5 linked regions of the Cricetulus griseus genome follow. The protein of the gene in region 1 interacts with the protein of each later gene in a pairwise test. Links are inferred from orthologs where the notes say so. Each region holds a gene or a part of one and is shown in the gene's direction. Other genes may lie near its edges. The genes, in order: Cpsf7, Smad3, Clk2, Snrnp25 and Rbm10.

Evidence for each region.
Region 2: the proteins of Cpsf7 (region 1) and Smad3 interact in binary tests that used the Homo sapiens proteins (3 or more experiments, as listed by UniProt). The two-hybrid records come from large-scale screens. The link is inferred for Cricetulus griseus from reciprocal best matches to the Homo sapiens genes CPSF7 and SMAD3.
Region 3: the proteins of Cpsf7 (region 1) and Clk2 interact in binary tests that used the Homo sapiens proteins (3 or more experiments, as listed by UniProt). The link is inferred for Cricetulus griseus from reciprocal best matches to the Homo sapiens genes CPSF7 and CLK2.
Region 4: the proteins of Cpsf7 (region 1) and Snrnp25 interact in binary tests that used the Homo sapiens proteins (3 or more experiments, as listed by UniProt). The two-hybrid records come from large-scale screens. The link is inferred for Cricetulus griseus from reciprocal best matches to the Homo sapiens genes CPSF7 and SNRNP25.
Region 5: the proteins of Cpsf7 (region 1) and Rbm10 interact in binary tests that used the Homo sapiens proteins (3 or more experiments, as listed by UniProt). The two-hybrid records come from large-scale screens. The link is inferred for Cricetulus griseus from reciprocal best matches to the Homo sapiens genes CPSF7 and RBM10.

Annotation. Positions count from the first base shown.
Region 1 is NC_048596.1:49,932,398-49,937,916, reverse strand, and holds part of Cpsf7 (cleavage and polyadenylation specificity factor subunit 7), read left to right. Parts: intron 1-3,892; coding exon 3,893-4,111; intron 4,112-4,369; exon of another isoform or gene 4,370-4,443; coding exon of another isoform or gene 4,444-4,446; intron 4,447-4,932; coding exon 4,933-5,036; intron 5,037-5,380; coding exon 5,381-5,519.
Region 2 is NC_048597.1:175,170,943-175,177,227, reverse strand, and holds the end of Smad3 (mothers against decapentaplegic homolog 3), read left to right. Parts: intron 1-789; coding exon 790-1,002; intron 1,003-1,766; coding exon 1,767-1,904; intron 1,905-2,726; exon of another isoform or gene 2,727-3,891; coding exon 3,892-4,238; 3' UTR 4,239-4,648; downstream 4,649-6,285. UniProt on the Homo sapiens protein: Receptor-regulated SMAD (R-SMAD) that is an intracellular signal transducer and transcriptional modulator activated by TGF-beta (transforming growth factor) and activin type 1 receptor kinases.
Region 3 is NW_023276806.1:65,382,462-65,388,478, reverse strand, and holds the start of Clk2 (dual specificity protein kinase CLK2), read left to right. Parts: upstream 1-2,185; 5' UTR 2,186-2,334; intron 2,335-4,360; coding exon 4,361-4,530; intron 4,531-5,719; coding exon 5,720-5,948; intron 5,949-6,017. UniProt on the Homo sapiens protein: Dual specificity kinase acting on both serine/threonine and tyrosine-containing substrates. Phosphorylates serine- and arginine-rich (SR) proteins of the spliceosomal complex.
Region 4 is NC_048600.1:46,025,416-46,031,513, reverse strand, and holds Snrnp25 (U11/U12 small nuclear ribonucleoprotein 25 kDa protein), read left to right. Parts: upstream 1-2,545; 5' UTR 2,546-2,730; coding exon 2,731-2,772; intron 2,773-3,628; coding exon 3,629-3,719; intron 3,720-4,246; coding exon 4,247-4,352; intron 4,353-4,874; coding exon 4,875-4,949; intron 4,950-5,254; coding exon 5,255-5,312; 3' UTR 5,313-5,552; downstream 5,553-6,098.
Region 5 is NC_048604.1:125,449,954-125,454,272, forward strand, and holds part of Rbm10 (RNA-binding protein 10), read left to right. Parts: intron 1-158; coding exon 159-342; intron 343-442; coding exon 443-582; intron 583-701; coding exon 702-819; intron 820-906; coding exon 907-998; intron 999-1,098; coding exon 1,099-1,263; intron 1,264-2,940; coding exon 2,941-3,090; intron 3,091-3,142; coding exon of another isoform or gene 3,143-3,184; coding exon 3,185-3,250; intron 3,251-3,327; coding exon 3,328-3,516; intron 3,517-3,602; coding exon 3,603-3,677; intron 3,678-3,964; coding exon 3,965-4,071; intron 4,072-4,148; coding exon 4,149-4,278; intron 4,279-4,319. UniProt on the Homo sapiens protein: Binds to ssRNA containing the consensus sequence 5'-AGGUAA-3'. May be involved in post-transcriptional processing, most probably in mRNA splicing. Binds to RNA homopolymers, with a preference for poly(G) and poly(U) and little for poly(A).

The DNA of each region.
Region 1 (5,519 bases):
GGCAGTGTTTGAGCATATATACCAAAAGGGAAAATTGAAACGAGTATAGATTTTGAGTGTCTTATGTTCTGAAAGTTAAGAAAGGAGACCCCATCCCCATAAGTTAATTTTTGGCGAAGCTGGTTTTAGTGTAATCTAGAAGCTGCTAATTGGTTAAAAAGTCTGGGTAGAGTTGCTAAAAGTTGGCTTAGATAGCCAGGTGGTGGTGGTGTATGCCTTTAATGCCAGCACTCAGGAGGCAAAGGCAGACCGATCTCTGTGAGTTCAAGGCCAGCCTAGTCTACAGAGCAAGTTCCAGGACAGGCTTCCAAGCTACACAGAGAAACCCTGTCTCAAAAAAAAAAAAAAAAAAAAAAAAAAAAAAAAAAAAAAAAGACGACGACAAAATTGGCTTAGATGGAAGGCAATCAGTATAAGTTGGATTTTTTAATGTCTTAGACAGTTAATTGATTTGCCCCAAGCTAGCCCTACATACAACTCCCCCAAGCACTTTGCTCCCAAAGGAAAATTAGTGCATTAACTACATGGAACCCTGTATTTGCTTCTGATCTCTGGCAGCATATACTGCAAAAACCTTTTGCGGAGATACTTTATTGATGTGGCATTGGGAGCCCTGGGACTCGAACTGCTCTACTGGACAGGGAAAAACTAAAAAGATGCCTGAGAACTGCTACTCTGCTGAATTTTCTGTTTGTTCCTTTCATTCTCATGCTGAGATGGGCTTTATAGTATGCTTGGTTCTACATCAGGAAGGATTTGAACTACTTCTGTTTACTGGACACTATCAGAGGTAGTGAGTTGTTGGGAGAGTGTAAATCTCTGTGCTCGAAAAGTGATGCCATTCCTAATGGTTAAAAGTAAAAGTGATACTAACTAGGTGTGGTGATACACGTCTATAATTCCAATGCTCTAAAGACTGGGGCAGTATTGCTATAAATTGGAGGCCAGCTTGGCTACAATGTGAAACTGTTAGAATCCATTCTCCCCCCTTCTCCCAACAACAAAAGTTGTAAAATAACAAAATGGATAGTAACAATGCAGAGTAATGGGCAACAGTGATGGGGGAGAGTTGTAAGATGAGGACTATGAGAAAAACATACCCAAGTTAATTACTTCACTGGCTCAGATACCAAGAAGGGAGGAACACTGAGCATATTGGAGGGAAAAATCAAACTCCTGGTAGGAAATTCATGATATAACTGTAGCTTTTTGTGTGTGTGTCCTTGAACACAAAATTCTTACTAAGATATTTATTCAATGTTGAATGCATATTTCCAATTTAAACTTATAATAAAAATTTTAGTGTTGCCACCTATGAAATGTGGGTGTGTTTTTTTAACTTGTCTTGTAGGATGGGTGGGTTTTTATTTCAGTTTTTTAAGTCAGGTTTTTTTGTATCCCTGCTGTCCTGGAACTCACTTTAGACCAGGCTGGCCTCAAATTCAAGAGATCCTCCTGTCTCTGCCTCCTGAGTGCTGGGATAGAAGGCATGCGCCACCATGTCCAGCTCACTTTTTAAAAACAGTTCCCATCCTCTGTTAGACCACTGAAACTTGGAACATTTAAATTTATTGGATTTTCTTTCTGAAGTGATAATATATAGAAACAAGGTCCTCCAGGATTGAGCCTATCTTGTTCTTGCAGAGATTATGGAAGAGCCCATTGATTCCCTTAAGCTAACAGTGTGAAAAGGTTTCCACTGATAATGTTTGCTCTGTAAGTTGAAATCTTTCTATTGGCTCACTGACTTTTTTTATCTAGCCAGTTTTCAGGGATGGCTTTGTCTTACAAGTTTTAGATACGTCTCTGAATCACAGATGCTGCATAAAAGGATTCCTAATTTTCTGGCATTGAATACAAAATAGTTATTTCCTTATTGTCTTTTAAGTTTCATTTGAAAAATCTTTCTTTCCCCTTTAAAAAACCTTGGTGGGTTGTATAAAGTCTAGTTGTCCTTAATATCTTTGGGGAATTGGTCTCAGGTCTTCCTCTTTAATAAAATATTCGGGTACTTAAATCTAAAAAAAAAAAAAACTGCGTGGGCCTGTAACCCCAGCTACTGAGGAAGCTGAGGCAAGTTCAAGACCAGTCTTAATAACTTCACCAGACCCTGTGAAGTTATTTAAAATTTAAATTAAAAAAAAATATATCAAAAGATACAGTTCATTGGTAGACCTTGCCTAGCATGTTCAGAACCACTTGGAGGAGGTATTTTTGCATATAAAATCTTTATGCATTCCTTCCCCATGCTTTAAAAACATCTCCAGATGATGACAATGATTATTTCGGCTTTGCTAAGGGTTGAATACAGGACTTTCCTTTTGCTAGCAAGCACTCCATCCCCATAGTTTTAATTCTTTTAATTTATTTTTATGCATATGAGTGTTTTGCTTATGCATGTCTGTACCCCATGTACATGCATTGCCTTCATCGGCCAGGGGAAGGTGTCTGATCCTCTGGGACTGGAGTTGTGAGTTGCCAGTGGGTTCTGGGAATCAAACCCAGGTACTCTGGAAGAGTGGCCAATGTTCTTAATCAGTAAGCTATATATCTTCTACCCCATCTTTAAAAACTTAGGATGTCTTCAGTTGATATTTGTCTGGTTAAGTCTGTAGATGGGAAACTGACAGGTATAGAGAGCCAAGTATAATGATTTCTGAGGGTTAGAGCATTGAACAGGATGCTCTAATTGGGAGGAGGAAGTTTTTTGTTTGTTTGGGATTTTGGTGATTTATGTACATTTTTACATTTGTTTTGTATATGTATATGAGTATGATGACAAAACTTTTCTTCCACTGAGTGGGTCAAGGTAATTGAACATGCATTAAGTCATCTCACTGACCTTTTATTTATTTATTTGTTTTTTAAGATGGTCTGGTACAGCCTGTGCTAGTCTCAAACTCTGTATGAAGCTGGCTGTGAACTGCTGATCTCTGTCTCTACCTCCCAAATACTGAAATTACAGTCACATGTGCCACTATACAGTCTTTGGTTTGGTTTTTTTGTCTTTTGTTTTTTTTGTACTATACCCAGTCTTAATTTGTACCTCAAAATATAAGGGAAAATCATTGTACCTGATATTTGACATGTAAATACTAGGACTCGAACCCAGTGCCTTCTTGTGCAAGGCAAGCACTCAGGTACAACTGAGCTATATCCCCAATCCTCTACTCCATGTGTTTTGTTTGTTTGTTTGTTTTTTGGTTTTTTTTTGATGTTTCTTAGATGGTTATTAGAAAGTTGAGATTGTATTCTTTTTTTGGTTTTTCGGGACAGGGTTTCTCTGTGTAGCTTTGGAGCCTATCTTGGCACTCGCTCTGGAGACCAGGCTGGCCTGCCTCTGCCTCCCGAGTGCTGAGATTGTATTCTATGAGCTTGAAAATTTCCCTGATCAGTTGTATAAACCAAAGGGTAACTCAGTGTTTTGTTTTGCATTTTATTGCCTACTTGCTTTAACATTCTTTCCCCATGCTTTATATTTCTGAATAAATGTACTCTTATTAAATGTAACAATAGTGGATAGCCTGATATTGAAAATACATTTTTATTAATATATTTTAGATGTTGTCTTTGAATCTGATATTGTTGTTGACAGTAGCACATGTATCTAATTGTTAGTGGTTTGTTTGCTTATTCATTATTTGCCTTCTGATCCTCACAGGAGGCTAAGGTCAGAAACTTGCATACTACTAATAGTCTTGGAAATTTTATAAGCAATACTAAGAGTTTCTAATCAGGAATTCTTTCTTACCCAGTTTCCTAGAGTGGGACAGGGAGGTCTTGTCCATTTCTTTACAAAGCATTTAACTATTGATTCTAAGTCAACTAGAATGAAGCAGAGGAAACAAATTGAAAAGTTTGAAGACTCCATTGTCAATCCCTCATCTTTTAGGACTCGGAGTTCAACAATACAGATCAGATTGACCTGTATGATGATGTGTTGACGGCTACCTCACAGCCTTCAGATGATAGAAGCAGTAGCACTGAACCGCCCCCTCCTGTTCGCCAGGAGCCGTCTCCCAAACCAAACAACAAGACCCCTGCAATCCTGTATACATACAGTGGCCTGCGGAGTAGACGAGCAGCTGTCTATGTAGGCAGCTTCTCCTGGGTAAGCAAGGATAACCAAAAGTCTTATGGGTGGGCTGGAGGGAGAGCACTGGGAGGTGATGGCATTTTCAGAAACCACTGTTGCACTGTTTTGTGCTCTGATGGGGTTGGATTTCTTTTTCCTGGGATCAGGTTGGATTGATCTCTGAAAGAGAACTATCCTGAGGACGTACTGGTGCCGAAGAAAGCATTGATTAAGTGGGTAGTTGCCTTTTCTGCCATCTTATTACTGCCCCTGACCCTGGGGCTTTATGTCTAGCAGGGTCATCTGTGGGACGAGATTTCAGAGTGAACACCTTGAACTCTTGGTGGTCATTAGATGGTCCTGTGCTAATGGTGGGTGATGGGGATCAAAGACCTTGGTAGCTCTAGGGTACTTGGGGTGTGCATTGACTGTTCTGTAAAAGTTAACTGTGGGACATGTTTTTGGGCTGGTGGTGGGGGATGCCAAATCAGGAAATGTATGTACTAATGGGAAAGTTCCTGGCATGGTCAACTCTAGCCTGTCAACAATTATAATTAAAGTTGCTTGCAGTCTGTTTGATTTGATGATCAACCAGCCCACGTGTCAGTCAAAATTTAAATAAATTTCTGTCTTAATCCCCAAACATAGGGGCTGTGGGATTAGATGGGTTTAGAAGTCAGGACAATGGGGAAAGCCTGCACTGATTGAAATATTACTGGGCTTTAGGGTTTCCTGTGGGCGGTCAGTGGTTGTGGCTGGAGTCCTAGATGTGGGAACAGGACTTGGGACATCTGGGTGGGTGGGTATCAGGCATGTTGCTCTTGACATTTCTCCCTTTTCCATCTTGCCGGCCCCAGTGGACTACAGACCAGCAGCTGATCCAGGTTATTCGCTCTATAGGAGTCTATGATGTGGTGGAGTTAAAATTTGCAGAGAACCGTGCAAATGGCCAGTCTAAAGGGTGAGATCTGGATTTGGGTGGTCTCCTTTAGTTTGTGACTGTTAGGGTAACAGATCTGTAATGTATTTGAACTTGGATTCCAATTCCTTTCCACCCCAGCCTAGCTTACTACCTTGGTTTTGACACATTGCTATAGATTGAGGACCTAGCTGGATTGAAACTGATTTTGTGATTGATTGATTGATTTTGTGTGTGTGTGTGTGTGTGTGTGTGTGTGTGTGTGTGTGTGTGTGTGTGTGTTTAAATATTTAACATAGCAAGATGCCTTTTCCTTTGTAAAATAGAAATTTTTGTTCCTTTTCCAGTGTCTAAATACTTTTCTCCTTTTTACTTGGTTCCTCCAGGTATGCTGAGGTGGTGGTAGCCTCTGAAAATTCTGTCCACAAATTGCTGGAACTCTTGCCAGGAAAAGTTCTTAATGGAGAAAAAGTGGATGTGAGACCAGCCACCCGGCAGAACTTATCACAATTTGAGGCGCAGGCT
Region 2 (6,285 bases), on another chromosome or scaffold:
ATGGGTACTGAGACATGAAGTGGAAGGCTGGACCATGTGAGAGGACTCCTTTTTTAAGTCGTCCTCAGCTATCCTAGGAGAGAGTTGGCCTTCATGTGGCTAGTCTGCCCTGAGGAGCTCCCAGCTGAGAGGCTGTACAACCACAAAAAAAATCTGTTTCTTTGTGTCCCATTGTTCTAACAGCTATCAACTACATAAAAGATGGGCCAAGGTTTCTGTTGTGAGACACATGGCCCTTCCTGTTCCTGATTTCTGGTCTGCTTGTTCACACATGAAGTGCAGCTGAACTCACAAGGCCACTGTGGCCATGTCATTACACATGACAGATAACAAATTGCTCCTCAGGCCGAATGACACCAAAATAAAGGCCCTTTGGGAGGCAGAGGTTGACATGGGCTCCTTTGAGAATCTCAGAAGAGAGGCTGGGAGGTGACTTTGTAGATGGCATGACTTCATACCACATCTAGAGCATACTTAGGGCTGCTCACAGTGCTGGCCCTGGTGCTGGCTGGTCCTGACCCATTTCATGTTTGGGCTAGCCTGTCTCTAAAGGCTGCTTCTGTTCATAGGAAGGGTAGACTCTACGGAGCAGGGTATGTGTGGGCTCCGAAGAAATGGACTTGGTTTGCTTCCCTTAGAGGCTGGCAGGGTCTCCCTCAGACTCTGAGGATCTCACTTGCTGGTACCCTGAAGGGTTTGTGCAATGGAAGTTGGGGTCAGGGATCAAAGGATGAGAGCTTTCAGAGCTTCCCTGGGTACCCACTGACCTGGCATACTCTGTTTCTGCAGACCTACAGCCAGTGACCTACTGTGAGCCAGCCTTCTGGTGCTCCATCTCCTACTACGAGCTGAACCAGCGAGTTGGGGAGACATTCCACGCCTCACAGCCATCCATGACAGTAGATGGCTTCACCGATCCCTCCAACTCAGAGCGCTTCTGCCTGGGCCTGCTGTCCAATGTCAATCGGAATGCAGCTGTGGAACTTACTAGACGGCACATTGGTAATGAGTCACCCCACCCCCACTGCTGCCTCCTGGGGGCACTGAGACTCCCTAGCACCAAGTACTGTTGGACCCAGATGAGAGGAGGTGGGAGTGTGGGGTACAGCTGCAGTAAGGGTCTGGACAGGCAGTGTGTAGATGTCACCTGGTCCTACAAGGCTCCAGTCTTCAAGTTGAGCTGTTTTCTTGCACTCTGGGACTCCTAAGCATAAGGGGACATCCCCATTGGGAAGAGCTCAATGTTTACATAACCTCTGGAGTGCTGAGCCAATTGAAAATTAATTTCTGTCCATCTGGAGTAGATTTAGGTGATGAAGGAAAGCAAGAGTTGCACTAGGAAACCATGCGCAGGGAGGTCCCTTTGGCAAGGGGCCAGAGGGCTGATGCCTCAGTAGCACCCTGGCATCACCAAGGCACTTCTGTGACTTTTGGGGGGGAGGTGGAGCTAGAGCAGTGGGGCGGCAGCAGCTGTCCCTCACCAGGCACCATTGCAGTCGTCACTAAGGTAGGTTATTATGGCTGTCCTCTAGACAGCTCAGGTCTGGGTAGTGGTAGAAGCTGGGTCCAGGCTCCTTCGTGTGCCACCTATTCCAACTGCTTTAGGAATTCAGAGCTGCCCACCATTCTCCCACTTGGCTTTGGGCTGGGCTCTAGGCTCCTCTTGTTTGGAGTAGCCACTTGCAGCTCTGTCTGCTGCCCCTCCCCAGCTTGCCTTGTTGCCCTGTGGGGTGGTCTTTCTGACCCTGTGTCTCATGACTCCCTAGGGAGAGGCGTGCGGCTCTACTACATTGGAGGGGAGGTCTTTGCAGAGTGTCTCAGTGACAGTGCTATTTTTGTTCAGTCACCCAACTGCAACCAGCGCTATGGCTGGCACCCTGCCACCGTCTGCAAGATCCCTCCAGGTAAGCCCCTGAAGTGCGGCCCTGGGGTCACCACCCGAGGCATGCCTGGGAAGGCTTCCTTGCCTTTCCTCCACACTGGTGTCCACACTGTACCTGTATAGACTCTTGTGTACCACTGAAGCTCATGAGAACAGAGGTAGCATCTAACAAATCTGTAACCCAGGGCATGGCCCTTCACCCACCAGTGTGAGGTGATCCCTTTCCTTTACTCACTCCTCCAAACAGAAGAGTATTTGGGGGTCTGTGACAGGAACTGGGGCAGGATGGGGAAGGTGCCCCTTCTGTACTCACAGCTTTACAGTGTTTAAGATGAAGACAGATGAGTGTTGACACACAGAGGGCTGTAAATCCCAGGCAAGCAGCTGATGGGGAGAAAGGGCATGTACTTGTGGGATGGATGATCAGGGAGGACACCCTGGAGGAGACATTAAGTGACAGGAGATGGTGGGGTGAAGTTTCTGAGGGCATGTGGCAGGGAGGACACTGAAACAAGGGTATAGAAGAAATGCAGGGTTGGACACTGGCTGGATGTACCATATAAAAGTTAGATGTTTAAAAGGCATTCTGGGCCTGGGATGAAGTGATAGTTTGGGTTTTATTCTGGGGAGTTGAGGGTTTTCTGAGGATGTCTCATGGGTCCCAAGAACTTGTGGGCTGGACCCCACCAAGGAGGAAAGCCAAAGTACTCCTCATATAGCAGGTGGCCTGTGTCAGGCCATTGCCTGGGACACACGTAGCTAGCTCCTCTTCCCATTTGTTGCTTAGTAGGGGACAATGGAGTAGTGGGCTGTGGGCAGAGTAAACCAAAGAACTCAGACAATCTCAGCCAGGAATGGATCTCTGCTCTGGCAGCTTTTGTGGTTTTATTTACAAAGTTCACATCTCTGAGCTCACACTTCCTCTCTAGCAACCCCTGTGGCTCTAAGAAAGGCTAGGGAAAGAATTCAGAATGAGCCACACTTACTTCTCCAAGTCCAAGAGCTGGGAAGAAGCCACAGTAGGCCTGAGCCGTGGAGAGCTGGCTGACTAGCCTGGTGTTCAGTCTTTTGGCTCAGCTAGGGCTGTAGCCCCAGGAGTGGGTGTGGTCTGTGCTTTGGTCTACCCACCTTCCCAGGAGCATGCAGGGATGGAGGTGGAGGGGTGGTATTCCTAGCTTCTGCCTTTCTGCTCCACCTCCCTCCCTGGTGAAGGCTGAGTATCTCTGGTTATATCATGTCAGCTTAGAGTCTGTCAGGGCCCTGACGATCAATCCCCCTCCCCCTTTTAAAGGGGACACAGGATCACCAGAAGAGGCAGGGCAGAGTCCACAGCTGATAGGGTCTGTGCTGGTTTTCTAGTTCCTGGGCCTTGCTCTCCTGGCACCTGGGCAGTAGGACTTCAAACAAGGTTTATTTTCCATGTTATTTGTGCCCATCTCCAGCTGCATTCTGGAGAATTGGGTACATTGTTGTTGATGTCACTGTGGCCCAAGCTTGAATCAAGACATCACTATGTGACCCAGCTCTCTTCCTTAGCCCCAACATGAGGCAGGGCCATCAGAGGAGCCAGGTGGAGGATGCTTCTGACTCTCGCAGTAGGCCCCCTACCCACCTCACTGCACCGATGAGGGAGCACCTGTCCCCAGGTGGCTACCACACCATAAGGCATTGGCAGCTAGGCTCAGGTCCCTTGCCTCTCTGAACCCTAGAGTCCTGCCTCAGCCTCTCCAGAAGATCCCTGCGTCATCCAAGTCCACTTCCAGGCTTCCTTCTTAGCATTTGACATCCCCACAGCTGGAGGATGTGGGCCAGCCTTTAGTGTCCCTTGTACATGCTTCTCCCTGCAAGGGTGTACCAATCAAGTGTAGGAATGGGGAAGCCCCCTCCTTGCATAGGGATGAACAGAGCAGGGAGCCACTGAGTGGAACCACTATGTGCCACCTGAGGCGTGTGAATCAGGCCATTTGGGCATTTCCAGGGTGCTTTATCTGACTATCTGTGGTTGGCAGGCTGCAACCTGAAGATCTTCAACAACCAGGAATTTGCTGCCCTCCTGGCCCAGTCTGTCAACCAGGGCTTTGAGGCTGTCTACCAGTTGACTCGCATGTGCACCATCCGTATGAGCTTCGTCAAAGGCTGGGGAGCGGAGTACAGGTCAGTGACTAAGGAGCTCTTGGCAGGTGGTGGGGAGGAGCCAACTCCAGGCAACTGGCCTAGGTCCCTCGGGGACCAGGGAAAGCAGGTATGGTGGCCAGGTATAGCAGCATGGTCTTTGCCTGGTGCTCAGCAGTTCTTAAGCTTGGTCAGCATCTCCAGGCCCAGCGTGGGGACATTGGCATTATTCTTTCTCTGCTAAAGCCTAGGGAGGGAAAAGAACATGCATGAAGTTAAGTGGAAGAGACGTTCCATCCTGGCCTCTCCTGGCTGCCGCTGTGTTTTCTGTCTCTCTGGGGACAGACTCTCAGGGTGACTGTCTCCCTGACACTACCACTGGCTCCATCACTAGTAAACTCAACAAAGGAGATGTGAGTGTTTATAAAGGATTTCAGTTAGCACTTTAAATATAGCACCAGTAATACCCAGGCCTACCTGGTCTGCTCAATTGAGGCCCTCAGACGGTCTAGACTGGGTTTAATGAGAATCTAGTCTCCTTTCTCCATATTGGACAGGAGCGTTCTGGGAGGCAGGGCTACATGCCCTTCTGCTCCATCCCTCCTCCCTAGCCCCCAGAGCAGACAGACATAGAGGTACCCACACATCAGCTGCAGCCAGCGCCTTGCGAGTTCCTCACCCCTTCTCTTCATTTTTCCAGATGTTTGGAATCAATTTTGTTTTGCAGTCATTCTGCACCCTAGCCAAACCCATTTCAATATTGGCTCTGGGCCACCATTCGTAATGAAATCCCGATGAGCATGACTTATGGAAAGTCGTATTCTCAGCCGAGGATGGAGGTCTGTAAAGCCCAGCTTCTCCATTAAGATCTTAGAGCTGCTGTTCTTTCGTGGATGCCTCATGGTGCCAGGGAGCAAAGCACTTTGGGCCCTTTAATCTGAAATCCAGGGAGGGTGACCAAGCAAGCAACCCAAGTGGTTAGACTGCGGAAGAGCCTTCAGCCATGTTATGATGACCCGGCCCAAAGGTCTGGCTGGAGAAATGCCGGAGCCAACCTTTAGTTCAGGATTTAGATCATTTAGGGAATGAGAGTGAAAGGTTAGAAAATTAATTTGTTAGTGCAAAAACCCCAAAGGAAAAGAACTGGAAGGCCCACTGCCTTCAGGCAGACACCCCAGGCTGAGCGTGAGCCTCCCTATTCAGGCAAAGCCCATGATGATCAGGGAGGGTCAGGATAATGGCCCTGGATGTGTTGGCAGAAGCCCCTCTCTAGGGCAGTGTATCACCATGCAGGATACCCTGCCAGCACACCCCGTCCTACACAGCTTACTGCGTCACTGCCGCCTGGCAGCATGGCATAGCAGCCTAGTGGCGGGTGCGGCCCCTTCCCAGAACAGCCATGCCCTCCTGCAATGTGGGCCAAACAGAGTAAGGTTTCAGGCTAGTTTTCTAAAGCAGCTGTAAGTGGGCCTGCGGCCCAGGTCTCACCTCCAGCTGGCACCCGCATGTCGCCACAGCAGATAGCCTTTGCTCACTGGAGGCTTCTGGGAGCTTGCCTGCAAGCTGCGTCACCAAGTAGTCTGAATTTAGACAAAGTGCTTTGGAGGCAAAGAAATGTGTGGTGTGCCTTGGTTTTTCCAGTAATTGTTCCCCCGCTAGTTCTGCTGGTAAGATTTTCCAAAATAAGCTGTAGATGGGATTATAACAGCTCACTGGGACCTGAAGCATGTGGGCTCTGTCAGTGCTTTGTAAAAACACTCTCCATCAGACAGACATGTCGTGAAAACTGTGGGGCTGACCCAGATCTGGAGAAGGGCTGCAGGTACCTACCCATTGGCAGAGCTGGGAGCCAGGGAGACCTTCATTCTGGCAGGTCACACATGGGGGAACTGACCTTCTTTCTTTAACTCTTTGAGGCCATCTCCCTTCCGCAGTACCTGACTTACTCAAAGCCCTCCTCGACTGGAAGAGTATGGCCTGGTTTGGTCTCATTACTGGTACACCTCTAGGCAGTATCTAGCATGAAGACAGTTCTGGCTTGAAGTGGCTCTGACATGTGTGTCCTTCTGGACATTTTCAAGTCTCCCACCTCTTCCCTCTTTCTGCAGGAGACAGACAGTGACCAGTACCCCCTGCTGGATCGAGCTGCACCTGAATGGGCCCTTGCAGTGGCTTGACAAGGTCCTCACCCAGATGGGCTCCCCCAGCATTCGCTGTTCCAGTGTGTCTTAGAGATACTAGGAGTGAAGGGCGTGGGTGGGGGAGGGTGGGCTTGGGGAAAATGGCCTTGG
Region 3 (6,017 bases), on another chromosome or scaffold:
CTATTCTTCAAGAACCCTCATCCCAGGGACTCCCATACCCGGCTGGGGGGGGTCCGTGGCAGACACCATTATTTGTTTACAGGTCTGTGTCCTCTCCCATTCAATCCTCAGACTGAGGCTCTGAGGAAAAAGAAACTTGTGCTGAGTACAAGGCTGGGCACACAGTAAACAGTCAGTAAATGACCTGGGAAAGCATCCCTGAGAAGGAAATTAAATTGCTTGCCCAATCCCCTCCTCCCCCCCCTCTCTCTCACACACACACACATCTTTTGAGACAGGTCTTGCTATGTGGCCCTGCCTGTCTTCAAACTCATTACGCAGATCATGCTGGCCTTGAACTCATGGAGATCTGCCTGCGTCTGTTTCTATTCTAGAGTGCTGAGATTAAAGGTGTGAGCCATTGGGCCTGGCTCTCTTTCTACATAGGTAATTTCTAAACTATTTCTGGTTAATTAGTCCAATCTCCATCTGACTATTCTCCCCCACTTCTACTCAGATTTTCCTTAACTTTAATGTATTTATTAAATGAGGGTTGTTTCCCTTCCAATTCTCCTTTCTGACAATTTCCCAGTTCCTTTGTATAGTATTGTTTTCTATTTCCTGTTTTTTTTAAATACATATTTATTTTTATGTGGATGGGTATTTTGGCTTGAATGTATATCTGTATACTACATGCATGCAATGCTTGAAGAAGCTGAAGAAATATTGAATGCCCTGGAACTATTACAAAACTGATATGAGCCATCATGTGTGTGCCGAGAAAGGAACCCAGGTCCTCTGGAGGAACAGTCAGTGCTCTTAACTGCTGAGCTATCTATCTCTCCAGCTCCTCAAATGAATAAATAAATTTAAAACATAAAGGTTTGCTTTTGAGATAAAGTCTTAAGTATCCCCAAGATAGCTTTAGAGACGTGTAGCCAAAGATAACCTTCAACCACTGATTTTCCTGCCTCCACTTCTCACGTTCTGGGATTCATTCATTACATGTGTAAATTGTGTGTGTGTTTCTCTAGCCAGTGCTTGCTGGATAACAGGCAACTACTCTATCAATTGGGCCACATTCTGAGCTAGTTTCTCTCTGAGACAATCTCACACTGTAGTCCCTGCTGGCCTTGAGTTTTTCAAATCCTCCTGCCTCAGCCTTTTGAGAACTGAGATTATGGGCATTAGCCATCATGGTTAACTTCTTGTTCTTTTTTAATATTTAGTAAACTGGAGCTGGAGAGATAGCTCAGTGGTTAGGAGTTCGAACTGCTCTTCCAGAGAACCCAGCACCTACAACTGCCTGTAATTCCAGGTGGGGGGGGGGAGGAACCGACGCCCTCTTCTGACCGCTATGAATACCTGCACTGACATGCACATAATCTGCTACAGACAAATAATTTAAGGTATATCTAAAAACAAGGAGAATAAAACACCATGCTTCCCAATTCTGGCCCCCTAATCCTCTTCTTCCCAGGCCATGTACCTACCCCAAACATAAATGACTTTTGTGCAGGACAAAGAGGGACCTCTCCTAGCTGGCGTTGGGCAGCAGAAGTTGTATTCTCCTTTTTCTTTTTCTTTTCTTTTCTTTTTGTTTTTTTTTTTTTTTGAGACAGGGTTTCTCTGTGTAGCTTTGGAGATCAGGCTGCCTCAAATTCTCAAACTCACAGAGATCCGGCTAGGAGGTTGTATCTTCAAGCTGTGCTTGAAGAATCTGACTTCAGAAAGCCTCACTGGAGTCGTTTGCCCAAAAGTGATACAATGTAACTACCAACGCTTTCCTTAAACATCCAATTTAAAAAAGACACTAATGTCTTCGGGTAAAGAGCAAGAAGAAGGCCTGAGAAAGGATAAGATGCGTAGCGGCCCAACAAACACGTGACAAGTTCCTAGTGCCGCACTACCCGAGCCAAAGGGCGCACCCAGAGCTTTGCGAACTCCAGGGAGTGCCGGCTAAGCCGAGGAACACACCGAAAGGCCCCCGGTGTGCGTGGGCGGAGCCCATCAGAGTCTGGGAAGTGACGCAGGACGTGCGTGCGTACGTGCATGCGTGCGTGCTCGCTCGCGGCAGCGGCGGCGGAGCGGAGAGGCCAGAGCCGGAGACCGAGCCGGGATCGGGCCCCGGGCGGGGGCGGTGCGAGAGGCGCCGAGCGGATCCAGGGGGCGGGGACGGAGCCCGGGCGGGCGGGACTGGAGCAGAGCCCGGGAACGGGGCGGGAGGTCCCAGGGCCCCGGGTTGGGGGGTGGAACCGCACTTCGTCGCCGCGGGGGTGCCGGGACTCCGGCCGCAGTGCCGCCGCCATCACGGACTTCCTGTGGGACAAGCGCACGGGCCTCGCCGCCAGAACGGTGAGCGCGCGGGCTGACGGACCTTGGGGCCGCGGAAAGATGGCTACCACCAGACGGGCGGCGACGGGATGAGGCGAAATTAGGAAGGAGTGTTGGGCTCTGGAAGCAGCAGAGTAGCGCGATAAGAGGGAGGGAGGTGGACCTGCCTCGCTTAGCCGGGAGACCTCTAGTAAACTTGGAGGGAGCGGTTCCATACGTGCAAAAGTTGGACTAGGGCTTTAATACGAACCGAGAAGTGTCACTGGAGACACGATGTTCAAGTTGAGAAAAGTTAGGCTGGATTTGCTTTTCTAAGAAAGACCCGAGTGACTTTGTTGGTAGGGTGTCCTAAGTAAAATGGCATTTAGGTTAATCAGTTTAATCAAGATTGAGTTACCTAGGGAAGTTTCCTGCTTCATCTTCTTGGTTTTCTGCCAGTCACTTTAGGCCAATGCACTGTAGGTCACCTTCCTTACTTTAAGAAGGTTGGGAGGAAGTGGCCCAGAATGGCAACCAGATGTTGGCGTTAAACCTGCAGACCTCATGTCCTCAGTCCTGGATCAAGGCTGTTCCTGAGACTCCTCTTACTCAGTTTGTCCTGTGCTTTTCCTGAATTATGACAGTGATTTTTGCTCTGAGTATTTCCTTTGACTGAAAAATTACTCATAACTTTTAACCGGCCCAGTTTTATTTAATGGAGGAGGCCCAGCTGTCAGCCAAGTAGTACTGATACTAGTTTAAAACTAGTTATTAGGCTGAGGATATAGCTCAGTTGATATGGTGGTGCTCAACTAGCATTCATGAAGCCCTGGGTAAGCCAGGTATGATGAGGCTGCTCTTATCTCTTCACTTGCAAGTGAAGGCCATCCTAGGTGACATAATCAAAATTGAGGACGGGGCTGGAGAGATGGCTCAGTGGCTAAGAGCACTGGCTTCTCTTCTGGAGGACCTGGGTTCAATTCCAAAACCATGTGGCAGCTCACAACTGTCTGTAACTCCGGTTCCAAGTGATTTGACACTCTCACACAGACATACATGCAAGCAAAACATCAATAAAGTAAAACATTTTTAAAAATTGAGGGCAGCCTAGGATATGTTAAGTCACACTTCCTACAAAAAGAAAACAAGCCAAATGTGGTTGTGCAAGCCTTTCAATCCCAGCACTCAGGAGGCAGAGACTAACAAGATCTCTGAGTTCAAGTTCAGCCAAGTTTGTATAGCAAGTTCCAGGCCAGCCAGGGTTACATAAAAAGATCTTGTCTCCAAAAAAAAAAAAAAAAAAAAGCCAGGCACACATGTAATCTTAGCACTTGAGAGGCAGAGGCAGGCAGATGTCTTGAGCTCAAGTCCAGCCTGGTCTACAGAGATTTCCAGGACAGCCAAAACTACAAAGAAACCCCATCTTGAAAAGCCAAAAAGAAAAGGCAAATCCCAATTATTTTTTACTTACTAAATACAGTGGTGGTGGGGAATGTACAACTACTTTGTGGTACTGTTTTATAACGTCAGAGATTTAGCCAGATGTCTGAGAGACATTTATTTATAGGACCACACCCTGGTCCCTAGAACTTGCTAGTATTTGTAAGATCCTGGGAAACTGAAGTCCTGCCCTTGTGGTACTCCTAATCTAGTAAGGGGGGAGGGATTTGCTGTTAATAACTAAAACAGCCATGTAAACTGAAGCTTTACTTTGTTTGCTTGTGAAGAATTTGGGACAGCAGAGCTTCATAACTTCGATTGCAGCAGAGATGAACTGTGGCAATATTTATCAGACACACTTGTTACCTGTCATGAACTGTGGCTCAGACCTGACGGTCTTCATGGAGCCATGTTTGAGGTAGAGCAGTTGAATTTGACTTTCTTGAGCTTTCAGCCAAAATTTGTAGGTGGCTGTATAATCCATAAAGCAAAAGTTGTAAACACAAAGACTGAGGAATCTGTGCTAAAAGGCATAGAAGGTGGCTTTGCATCTTCATAAGCACACAGATCCAGAGAGCTTCTAAGAACTCAAAAGTGTTCCTACCATCTGCTTTTGCTTCCCTTCTAGATGCCTCATCCACGAAGGTACCATTCCTCAGAACGTGGTAGCCGGGGGAGTTATCACGAACACTATCGGAGCCGAAAGCATAAGCGAAGAAGAAGTCACTCCTGGTCAAGTAGCAGTGACCGGACAAGGCGGCGGCGGAGGGAGGACAGCTATCATGTTCGGTCCCGAAGGTGAGGCCTCAGGAAGAGAGACTGACTCCAGGTCACTGGTTTATTCATTTATTCAATAAGTGCTTATTGGTTACATGCTGAAGCCAGTGGGCTAAGTATGTACTTCTGTGGCAGAGCATGTACTTAATAAGCATTTGGTCCTGAGTTCACTTCCTGGCATTACCCAAAAAAAAAAAAAAAAATGACTCCCATCACTTGGGATGACACAAGGAGGGTTACAAGTCCACTGCTAGTTTGGGCTTCATACTGAGTCTGAGGCCAGCCTGGTCTATACAGTTCCTTCATACTGAGTTTAAGGCCAGCCTGATCTATACAGTTTCTTTGAGACTCTCAAAAAAAGAATTTTTCTGAAAGGTGCTTTTGTAGAGGAAGTACTTAGGGGTGGAAGCTGTACCCCCAGGCATTGTTGGAATGGATCTGGACCTGTGTCGTTAAGGAGAAACTTACCTTTTTTTTCCTTAAATTTTATGTGTATGAGTGTTTTGCCTACATGTCTGTCTTGGATTACATGCATCCCTGGTAGGTACCCTCATTAGTCAGAGAGGGTATGGGATCCCCTGGACCTGGAGGTACGGATGGTTGTGAGCTTCCTTCCATGTGGTTGCTGGATTGCACCCAGGTCCTCTGAAAGAGCACCTAGTGCTCTTAACTGTTGTGCTATTTCTCTAGCCCTTTTGTGTTTGTTCCTGAGACAAGGTGTCACTGTGTTACCCTGGCTGGCTTAGAACTTTCTGTGTAGACCACATATATCTTTCTCCTCTGCTGGAGTGCTGGGATTAGTGGTGTGTGCCACCATGCCTGACTCAAGGACAGCTTTTAAGAAAGGGTACCTAAGCTTGCCTGGTGGGGCAAATGCGAATCAGTGGTAGAAATGTCTTCAGGGGGCAGGGCCGCACATGCCATGCTAAAGAGAGCTCACGAGCTACATGAAAGTTAGGTCTGTGGGGTTTTAATAATTCAGTGGTATGGAGAGGAGTGGGTTGGATTGGAACAAGGCCAAATTTCATTTGGAAACATTAGAGAGCAAACTGGTTCTTTGTTCCTTGTGTCATTGGAGAGGAGGAGGAGCCCCCCACCACCACAGAAGGGATACTCCCATGGCTCTTTTCCCTAAGGTAGGACCATGTTGCATGGTGGCAGGGAATGTGGCCTGGCCTGATATTCCTGATGGATATTTGTTATCCAACAGCAGCTATGATGATCATTCATCTGACCGGCGGGTATATGATCGTCGGTACTGTGGCAGCTACAGACGCAATGACTATAGCCGGGACCGTGGAGATGCCTACTATGACACTGACTTTCGACATTCCTATGAGTGCCATCGGGAGAACAGCAGTTACCGAAGCCAGCGCAGCAGCCGGAGGAAACATAGACGGCGGAGGAGACGTAGCCGCACCTTCAGCCGCTCATCTTCAGTGAGTGCCAGCCCAGGCCTTTACTCTCCCCATTCTTCTGGAGTCCCTCGGGGACCCTGATAAATAAAA
Region 4 (6,098 bases), on another chromosome or scaffold:
TAAGCTCATACAAGATTATTAGATATCAAAAAAAAAAAAAACAGAGCTAGAAAAGCCACCCTGAAGACAGTGAGCAGGGCATGGTGACTCATGCCTATAACCCCAACACTTGGGAACTAGCTAGTCAGGAGGCTCTACAGAATGAGTTCAGGACCAGCCTTGGCTACATGAGACTGTGTCCCAAAAATAAGAAGGAATGGGTTGGGATAAAGGGAATAAATCATATTACATGAAGCACTAACTAAAATAGATCTTCTGGAGTTTTGCTATAAGCCTTCTGTGAGTACCACATTTGTTATTATTTTTATGAATTACTATTATTATCATTAATTTGGTCCTCACTACTTAGAAGAATGAGCAAAGTCATTTGGGCTCTCGGTTGACCAGATGGATCAGTATCATCTCTCCATTTCCTTTATTTCCTTTTCTAGTGTTCATTGCCAAATACATAATGGAATTTTTTGGGTTGTTTTTTTTTTTTGGTTTTTCGAGACAGGGTTTCTCTGTGGCTTTGGAGGCTGCCCTGGAACTAGCTCTTGTAGACCAGGCTGTTCTCAAACTCACAGAGATCCACCTGCCTCTGCCTCCCAAGTGCTGGGATTAAAGGCATGTGCCACCAATGCCCAGCTCATAATGGAATTTTTATGTAAAAAGTGGCATATTCATCTATATCAGCTAGGGGTTCTAGAGGAACAGAACCAATAGAATTGATGCATAATAAAGGAGTTGTAGCCGGTTAGTGGTGGTGCACGCCTTTAATCCCAGCACACGGGAGGCAGACGCAGGTGGATCTCTGTGAGTTCGAGGCCAGCCTGGTCTCCAGAGCGAGTGCCAGGATACTCTCCAGAGCTACACAGAGAAACCCTGTCTCAAAAAACCAAAAAAAAAATTAAAATAAAATAAAATATATTAAATGAGTTGTATTAGATTGGTTTGCCTGATACAGTCTGGGTATCCAACAACAGCTGCCTGCACACTGCAGAACCCAGTAGGTGCTCAGTCCTCAAGGCTGAATGCCTCTGCAGTTCTAATCTGGTGCTGGAGACCAAGAGAATTCTTGGAGAAACACTGGTCTTCAATCGATGTTGGAAGCTGAAAAGGCTGAGTTCCAGTGTCACTGGAGGACAGTGGGAACAGTGACAGCAACAGAATAGATAACTCATGAACAAAATACAAAAGCAAGCAGTCAAAAAGCAAACTCTTTCCCCTCAGACCACTTTATATTAATATCTAAGCTGCTACCAGAAGATGTGGCTCACATTCCAGGTGAGTCTTAGCATTTCAATTAATGTAACCAAGAAAATCCCAGATACCAGAATGGCCAAGTAGTTATCAGATTTAAGAAAATCCACCACAGGCATGCCCAAAGAGTGACCTGATCTAAATAATACCTCACAGATAAGCCAGAGACTTGTGTCACAACAATTAGGAGCAGTGGCTGCTCACCCAGCACCCAGGTTCAATTCACAGGACCCACATGATGGTCCATACTCTGTAGCTCCAGCCCGAGGGGATCTGACACCCTCTCCTGACATCTGTGGGCATTGCACACGAATAGTGCTTAGAAGAAAAAATGCAAAGCACCCATACACACGCGATTAAAATGGGCACTACAATTGTTACAGGGACTGGTGTAAAAGGGCAACAGAAAGAACAAGAAGACTGGAGACCAGAGACGATGTGAGCAGATGGGAGCCTGGCACTGCTACTCTGTGCAGCACAAAGGACTACGGGTCCCGCCTAGATTTTTTTGTTTGTGTTGTCTTTCGTGAGAGGGTTTACTTACCTGTTGTGGCCCTGGCTATCCTAGAACTAGCTCTGTAGACCAGGTTGGCCTAGAACTCAGAGATGAGTTCTGCCTGCTTCTGCCTCTCAACTGGTTGGACCAAAGGTGTGAGCTACCACGCCCGGCTCAATCTCATTAGGTTTTTTGTTTGCTTGTTTTGTTTTGTTTTTCGAGACAGGGTTTCTCTGTGTAGCTTTGGAGCCTATCCTGGCACTCTCCACTCGCTATGGAGACCAGGCTGACCTCGAACTCACAGAAATCTGCCTTCCTCTGCCTCCCGAGTGCTGGGATTAAAGGCGTGCACCACCGCCCCGCTCAATCTCACCAGGTTTTAAGTGGACCTTTCTGGTCACTTTTTGGAATGGAGCCCGAGGCAGAATCCCTGAGTTGCCGAGACCTGGCAGGGACATAGACTCGGAGGTAGCAACGACTGATCCCGAGCAGCAGGAGGCACCCACTTCCTAGTGTCGCTTTGTGAGTGATGCTGTCCTGGTGGAGGCGGAGGGGGGTATAGGTGTCTTGGGTGAGGCGACGGCAGTACTGGCCCTCCCTGACGACCAGACCAGGTAGAAACCCAGTGGACCCGACTGAATTCTACAACCAAGCACACGACTGCCTGCACATAGCTCCCGCGCTGCCCGCACTGCGCACGTGACCCGCCCTATCCCAGCCTAACCGGCGTTCTCGCACCTCTCATTGGTCACTGAAGTCACGCTGTGCACCAATGACCGAACTACCTCGCCAGGGGCGTGGCGCAGTCACTGCGCACGCGCTGGAAGGCAGGCCCGGCTGAAGGAGCGACGGAAAAGCGAGACTACCGGTAGCTGGCAACCCTGGAAGACCCGGAGCCCGCGGATCGGCCGGAAGTGCCTGAGGACGATGAGGATGATGAGGAGGCATTGCCACATTCCGAGGCCGTGGACGTGTTCCAAGAAGGTCTCGCCATGGTAGTGCAAGACCCGCTGCTCTGCGACCTTCCGATCCAGGTGCGCGACAGGGCTCTGGATGGGCACCCGTGGTCCCACCAGCGAAGGACGCTTCTGTGCATAAGCGGAAAGTTTGGGGTGAGAGGACCCCAAAACACTCCCTCGCAGGCGTGAAAAGTTAGGATTAAACAAATACTAAGATTTTTAACTCAGGAGCAGTGTGACTGGTCTTTTTCCATTTGCCTCAAGCATCAATATGCGTGGGCATAGTGATTCTTTAATGTATTTTTTGACCTTGTCCGTCAAGGGTGTTTTAATCTAACTTCTGTGTCCTCACAGAACTGGGAATCAGACTTGGAGCCTTTCGAATGCTAAACAAGTGCTCTACCACGGAGTTACACCACTTTCTCAACTTTTACTTCCCTCAGTGTTTTATTAAAACATCTGTCGTTACCAGGCGATAGTGGTGGCACACGCCCTTAATCCCACCACTTGGGAGGCGGAGACAGGCGGATCTCTATGAATTCCAAGCCAGCCTGACCCATTTAGAGCTCTAGAACATAGTGTGTCCCTGCCTCAAAACAAACAAAACTATTTTGTCATCACTGGGTTTTGGTAGCTAGTAAATTTGCACCCTTGCCCTGCCTCAACCTAGTCCTACCACACTGCTTGATATAGGACTCTCAGAATCATCAGGCCCAGTGTTCTTCCCTTGTGCAGCTCTGTTTCCATGCATGTTCCTTTGCTCCCTTGTGGGACTTTTTAAATAGAAAATCCTAACCATAGCAGGCAAGAACCCCATATCTGTGCTCTTCATAATACAGGGCACCACTTTGGGGCACTGTCAGCTTGGTTTCCATTGTTATTGTTGGGGTGTTAAGAGAAAGCATCTCCACATCCCTTTGGTCTTTCCTAGGTCACTTTAGAAGAGGTCAACTCTCAGATTGCACTGGAATATGGCCAGGCAATGACAGTCCGAGTGTGCAAGATGGATGGAGAGGTAATGCGTAAGTACCACCATCTTAGTTACTTTTCTCTTGCTGTAAAGAGACATTGCAATCAAGGCAACTTCTAAAAGAAAATGTTTGTGGGGCTCACAGTTCCAGAGGGCTAGAGTCCATGATCATCGTGGCAGGCAGGCAGGCAGGGTCCCGGAGCAGTAACTGAGAGCTTTCATTCTGGTCCACAGGCATGAGACAGAGCTAACTGCAGTAGTGTGGGCTATTGAAACATCAAAGCTCACCCCCAGTGACACACCTCCTCTAAGGAGTGCACACCTAATCCTCCCCAAACAGCTCCACTGGGGCCAAACATTCAAATAGAGAAGCCTATGGGGGCAGTCTCATTCAAGCCACAGCCACCCTTCTCTCTGTAAGCCTGAGCTTTCACAGCAGCAAGGTACTAGCAGAGACCGTGCCTGGGTGTGCTGGGACAGCCACACAGCCACCCTGCCCAACAGAGCAGAGCCCTGGGTTTCTCTCCCATTGCCTGGGGCTCTGTGTGTGGATTCTTCCATATGTGTCCATGATTCCAGCTGTGGTCGTCGTACAGAATGCCACGGTCTTGGACCTGAAGAAGGCTATCCAGAGATACATGCAGCTCAAGCAGGAGCGGGAAGGAGGCATTCAGCACATCAGCTGGTGAGTGAGGCAACAGTACCTTCTGTCATTCCTGGGGTTGTGTGGGCACTACAAGGAGGCAACTTTCAGCTCCTCTTGTGTACACCACCAGTGCTCCTCTTTCGGGTTGGGTAATTCTGTGCCTGAGGGTCCCTCCCCAGTTGTCCTTTCTAAATACCCTTCACTGATGTCACCCTACCCACACTGCTGGATATCGTCACGTGGAAACACCTGACACCTTAATGCCTCCCTAGTTATATATAGGTGGTGTACCTGTCAGTGGCCCCTTCCCTCCTCACCTAGGTGCTGCTGGATCAAGTATCCTGTTATCCAACTCCCTCAGTATTGTCACCTATTTCCTTAGCAAGATGTGTTTGGTACCTCTTGCTAACTGCCTTGGGCCTACCATATACATCATGTAGGGTAAAATGTCCAGAAGGGGAATCTATCTGTCCTGGGTGCCATAAGCTGTATGCTGCAAGCCTCTATCATCCCAGCTGTTTGTTTGGTAGCATGTGCATCACTTAAGTCCCTTCTTTGCAGGTCATATGTGTGGCGGACGTACCATCTGACTTCAGCTGGGGAGAAGCTCACAGAGGACAGGAAGAAGCTCAGGGAGTAAGTCTAATCCACATCCTGAGCTGTAGGTCAGTGGTCCATCAGTGCCTGTGTCCACCAAAAGGCTGTAATAGGAAGGTCCCTAGCTGGATTGACTGTCCTGTGGGCATTTCCTTGGGATTTCCCACTTAATGCAGGGCAAGGAAACAGCCCTGCTATTCTCACAGCAGCCTGGAGCTGCATGAAGGAAACCAGGTGTGGAGGGGGAAGAAGGCTATGGCCATCCTCACCTGATGGTTCCTGATCCCTCAGAAACCCAGTGATCCTTCTGTGAGTCAGACACTGTACCATTCTATCTTTTTCAGTTATGGCATCCGGAATCGAGATGAGGTTTCCTTTATCAAGAAGCTTAGGCAGAAGTGAACCCCAGAGTGACCCAGCAAGATGGTGCCCTTCCCTTGTCCTAACAGGAAAAGATGTTGGGGTAGCTGCATTCCTGAATTGCCTGAGTGGGGTTGTCAGCAGGAGCCCAGAACACTTGAACATGGAAAGTTCCTCGGTCCCTCGCCTTCCTATAAATTCTGCCTGAAGATCCAATGTGGTTTTGTGCCTGGCCTCCAAAATAAACCTGTTTGCTTTGTACATGGACAAATCAAAAAGACACTCTATGTGGTTGAGCTGGATCTGTCCCATATTGGAGGGAGGTGAGGGCAGACACTGGTATTGGGAAGCGCCAAAGTCTCAGAGGCCACACCTAAGCTCTGGAACCATACTGCTACCTCTCTTGCCATGGCCTCATAGTATGGAGTGACACAGCTGAGCAGCTAGCTTTGTTTCTGCTGTGAAGAAACAGGAGCCTGCATCTCGGGGCCTGTGATAGGACCTAGCAGGTGACAAGGATGGAAGTGGAGGCCTCAGGCCTCCATCTAACAGGTTCCCTATAGCCATGTTTCTCCTGGGCTCAGTGAAAAAGACAGCATGGTGAGGAATGAGTTACAAGGGTGCAAGATGCTCCCCACTGTGGATATGCCTGTACTCCCCTAGGTCCATGTCCCAACACTGGCTACTAACCCCACTACAAGACTTCACAGAGAGGTGACAGCCAGTGATGTCTCTGACTTAGAGCAATGGTTCTCAACCTTCCTAATGCTGCAATGCTTTAATACAGTTCCTCATGTTGTAGTGACCCCCGACCATACAATTATTTTC
Region 5 (4,319 bases), on another chromosome or scaffold:
CTCTTCTTCCTCCACTGTTGTTGTCAGGACCCCTTGCTCTTTACTACCTTAAGGCTGCATGCTTTTCTATCAAGTGGAAATGCTAGCTCCATGTGTAGGACAGATACTTCTAGCAGATGTCTTCCCTTATGCCCTGTCATCTCTCACCTGCCCCTCAGGCCTCCCAGGGTGGAGAGAGTGCCTGGGCTGCCCCTGAGGAGACTCCAGTTGACTACAGCTACTATCAACAGGATGAAGGCTATGGCAGCAGCCAGGGCACAGATTCCCTCTATGCCCATGGCTACCTTAAAAACAGCAAGGGCCCTGGCATGACTGGGACCAAAGGAGACCCAGCTGCTGCAGGTGAGCCTCATCCTCTCTTGCTGAGCTTAATTGTGGGGCCTAGAAGCCTACTGTCTTATGCGCTAACATTCATGGGTATTCTCCTTGGTTTTCCTTTCAGGTCCTGAGGCCTCCCTTGAGACTGGGGCAGACTCTGTGTCACTGCAGGCTTTCTCCCGAGCCCAGCCTGGTGCTGCCCCTGGGCTTTATCAGCAATCAGCAGAGGGAAGCAGTAGTCAGGGTACAACTTCCAACAGCCAAGTGAGGATAACATTGATTGACACTCTGGGGAGGCTGGTGGGCTGGCAGGGTGCATCTTGAGTGGGCAGGAGGGTATTAACAGACACTGAGTTGTGTTCCCTTTTGTGACCCATGAGCAGTCATATACCATCATGTCACCTGCTGTGCTCAAGTCTGAGCTTCAGAGTCCTACTCATCCCAGCTCTGCCTTACCACCAGCCACCAGTCCCACTGCCCCAGAGTCCTACAGCCAGTACCGTGAGTAGCCATACATAGCCTGTAGGTAAGGGTGTGGACTTCTCCAAGCAAGGAGGAATTTGACAACCTTGTCTTTCCTCCCCACAGCCGTTCCTGATGTCTCTACTTACCAATATGATGAGACATCTGGCTACTACTATGACCCCCAGACTGGTCTATACTATGACCCCAACTCCCAGGTAGGTGACGGGGTAGGCTAGGGAAAACTGGACTGTGGTTGTGTGGCAGCTAGCCCTAGAGGTCCTCCCTCATGTCACCTCTTCCCATTCTCTTCCTCAGTATTACTACAATGCTCAGAGCCAACAGTATCTTTACTGGGATGGAGAGCGGCGGACCTACATACCTGCCTTGGAGCAGTCTGCTGATGGACATAAGGAGACGGGGCCATCATCCAAGGAGGGAAAAGAGAAGAAAGAGAAGCATAAGACAAAGACGGCCCAACAGGTGAACCTCCAGCCATCATCTCCTGTTTGGAGTCTGTGTTCTGTCACCTCCTGCCCTCTTCAGCTTAAAGGAAAGTAGAGTAGTGGGTGGGAATGGACAGAGGTTGTAACTGCTTCAGAAAGTAAGGACTCTTGAGCCAGATCTATTTTGGGAGGTGGGGTACTGTAGCAGGACTACCTACCACCATAAAGTGACTTACACCATCTGAGTGAGCTCTGGCAGCTTTTCTCTGCCCCTCGAAGGTAACCTTCATGCTGCTGGTGGATGTCTGTTGATCCAATATAAATTCTCGTAGGCTTATATGAAGTTGATTAAGAAACATTGCAGGGTTTTCTATAGAGAGCAGTTAGAGAGAATCTCATTGCCTCTGTAGAGAAAGGGTATAACATTGAAGCACAGCACTTAGAAGCAAGCAGTAAGTATTCCCTCAGCAACCTGAGGAATTCATAGACTGGAAGAAACACAAAGCATTAAACTTGACACCATGTCACATGTCTTAGGTTCCTATTGCTATGATAAACACTGACTAAAACCAACATGGGCATGAAAGGGTTTTTCATCATGAACAGAAGTCGAGGAAGGAACCTGGTGGCAGAAACTGATGTAGAGACCATTGAGGAGTGCTTCTTACTGGCTTGCTGTCCGTAGCTTGTTCAGTCTGCTTTCTTACACAACTCAGGACCACCTGCCTAGGAGGTGGCACTGCCCACAGTGAGCTGGGTCCTACCACATTGGTCAGTAATTAAGAAAATACCCCAGAGACTTACCAATAGGCCAGTCTGTTGGAAGAGATTTCTTAATTGAGAGTTCCTCTTCCCAGATATGTCTAGGTTTGTATCAAGTTGACAAAAACCAACCAGAACATCACACATAAATTGAAATTATATACAACCCTAGGGGTGTGGCTCGGTGGAAGAGTGCTTGTCTAGTATGTTACAAGACCCAGTTACTTCCCCATTCCCATACACAAGTATGTAGTTCTCTGTATTTAGAAAGTAAAAATGAAAGAACAAATAATGATACAAGTGCCAAATCAGAAGTTGGGGTTGCAGCCAGGCAGTGGTGGCCTTAATCCCAGCACTCGGGAGGCAGAGGCAGGTGGATCTCCAAGGCCAGCCTGGTCTACAGAGTGAGTTTCAGGATGGCCAAGGCTACACAGAGAAATAAACCTGTGTCAAGAAAGAAATAGTTGGGGTTGTAACCAGAGAGGGGCTTGAAAAGGATCCCAGGCCAATACAGAAAATAGGATCTTGTACCAACACCTTTGCCCCACTGCCCTTCTGACCCTGCTTGCTCAGTTGTTATCTGCCCACACTATTTCTGCTGCTGCTTTTGCCTTTGCCTTTGGAAACTACATGGAGTAGGTGGGAGGCAGGGGAATGTTTGGAAACAGTCAGTAGAAGGAAGGGATCCTTGGCATGAGCTTGAGTTTATTTTAATAAGATGGTTTGGAGAAGGTGGAAGTATTTGGGCATGGTTTATGGTTTTTAAAGGAATGTTCTACAAGGATGAGACCCCAGAGCCAGGTATACACAGCCTTTTACAGTGGTTGAGTTAAGAAAGGTACCAGACTTGAGGCTACAGGGCGGGAAGGGCTACTATTGCAAGGGTCATGGGTGAGAGAATAAAGCCCCAAGTTCGAGGAATTCTGGGAACTTTAATCCCCCCCCCCCCCAGATTGCGAAGGACATGGAGCGGTGGGCCCGCAGTCTCAACAAGCAAAAAGAAAACTTCAAAAACAGCTTCCAGCCTATTAGTGCCCTACGAGATGATGAGAGGCGGGAATCGGCCACTGCAGATGCAGGCTATGCTATCCTTGAGAAGAAGGTGTGTTGTAACTGTCCATCTGTGCCCCACCTACAATCTCATTACTCCTTAGGGTCCTCTGGGGAGCCCTGAATTTCTGTGTCCTTTACCTCAGGGAGCGCTAGCTGAAAGACAGCACACCAGCATGGATCTCCCAAAGTTGGCCAATGATGATCGTCCAGTGAGTTGTCAGAGCAAAAAGGGCAGGGGTCTCTGATCTCAGCAAGGCTGCTGATTTCCCACCCTCACTGTCTACAGAGCCCACCTCGAGGGCTGGTGGCAGCCTACAGCGGGGAGAGTGACAGTGAGGAGGAGCAGGAGCGAGGGGGTCCTGAGCGGGAAGAAAAGCTCACAGACTGGCAGAAGCTAGCCTGCCTGCTCTGCCGCCGCCAGTTTCCCAGCAAGGAGGCACTCATCCGGCACCAGCAGCTCTCTGGGCTCCACAAGGTAATTGAGCAGAGAGTTGGCAGGATAGCCTGTGTCTAGCCCATTTCAGCCCAATTGCTTTACTCTTCTTCTGTCCCCCTCTACAGCAAAACCTTGAGATTCATCGGCGAGCCCACTTGTCAGAAAATGAATTAGAAGCACTAGAAAAGAATGACATGGAGGTGAGGTGTGACCCACTCCTGGGCTCCATTCCATCTTCCCCTTCCAAGTCCCTGTCACTCCAGGCAGTAGGACTTAAAAGTTCCTTAGCCAGGTACAGCCTGACTGCCATCTGTTTTCCTGTTGATGGGAGACTTCTTCCCAGTTCCCATGCCATTGTGTCCTGACCTTCAGGACCTAAGACTGGGCCAGACAGAGAGACCTGTATGCCTCCCCCCAGCCCCATCCATGCCTATATCTGCTGAAAATAACAGCCAATTCCAACATCTTCCCGTGCACTAATTTGTAGCAAATGAAGTACCGAGACCGTGCAGCTGAACGCAGGGAGAAGTATGGTATCCCTGAGCCACCAGAGCCCAAAAGGAGGAAATACGGTGGCATATCTACAGCTTCTGTGTGAGTACAGGGCCAGGTACCAGGTGAGGGGGTCTGGGGCTGGCACACCACTCACACTGTAACACTGTCACCTGCAGTGACTTTGAACAGCCCACTCGGGATGGATTAGGCAGTGACAACATTGGCAGTCGCATGCTCCAGGCCATGGGCTGGAAAGAAGGCAGTGGTCTGGGTCGCAAGAAACAGGGCATTGTGACACCCATTGAGGTGAGTCTATCAGCCATTTTTGTTCCCAACACTCTCAGTGT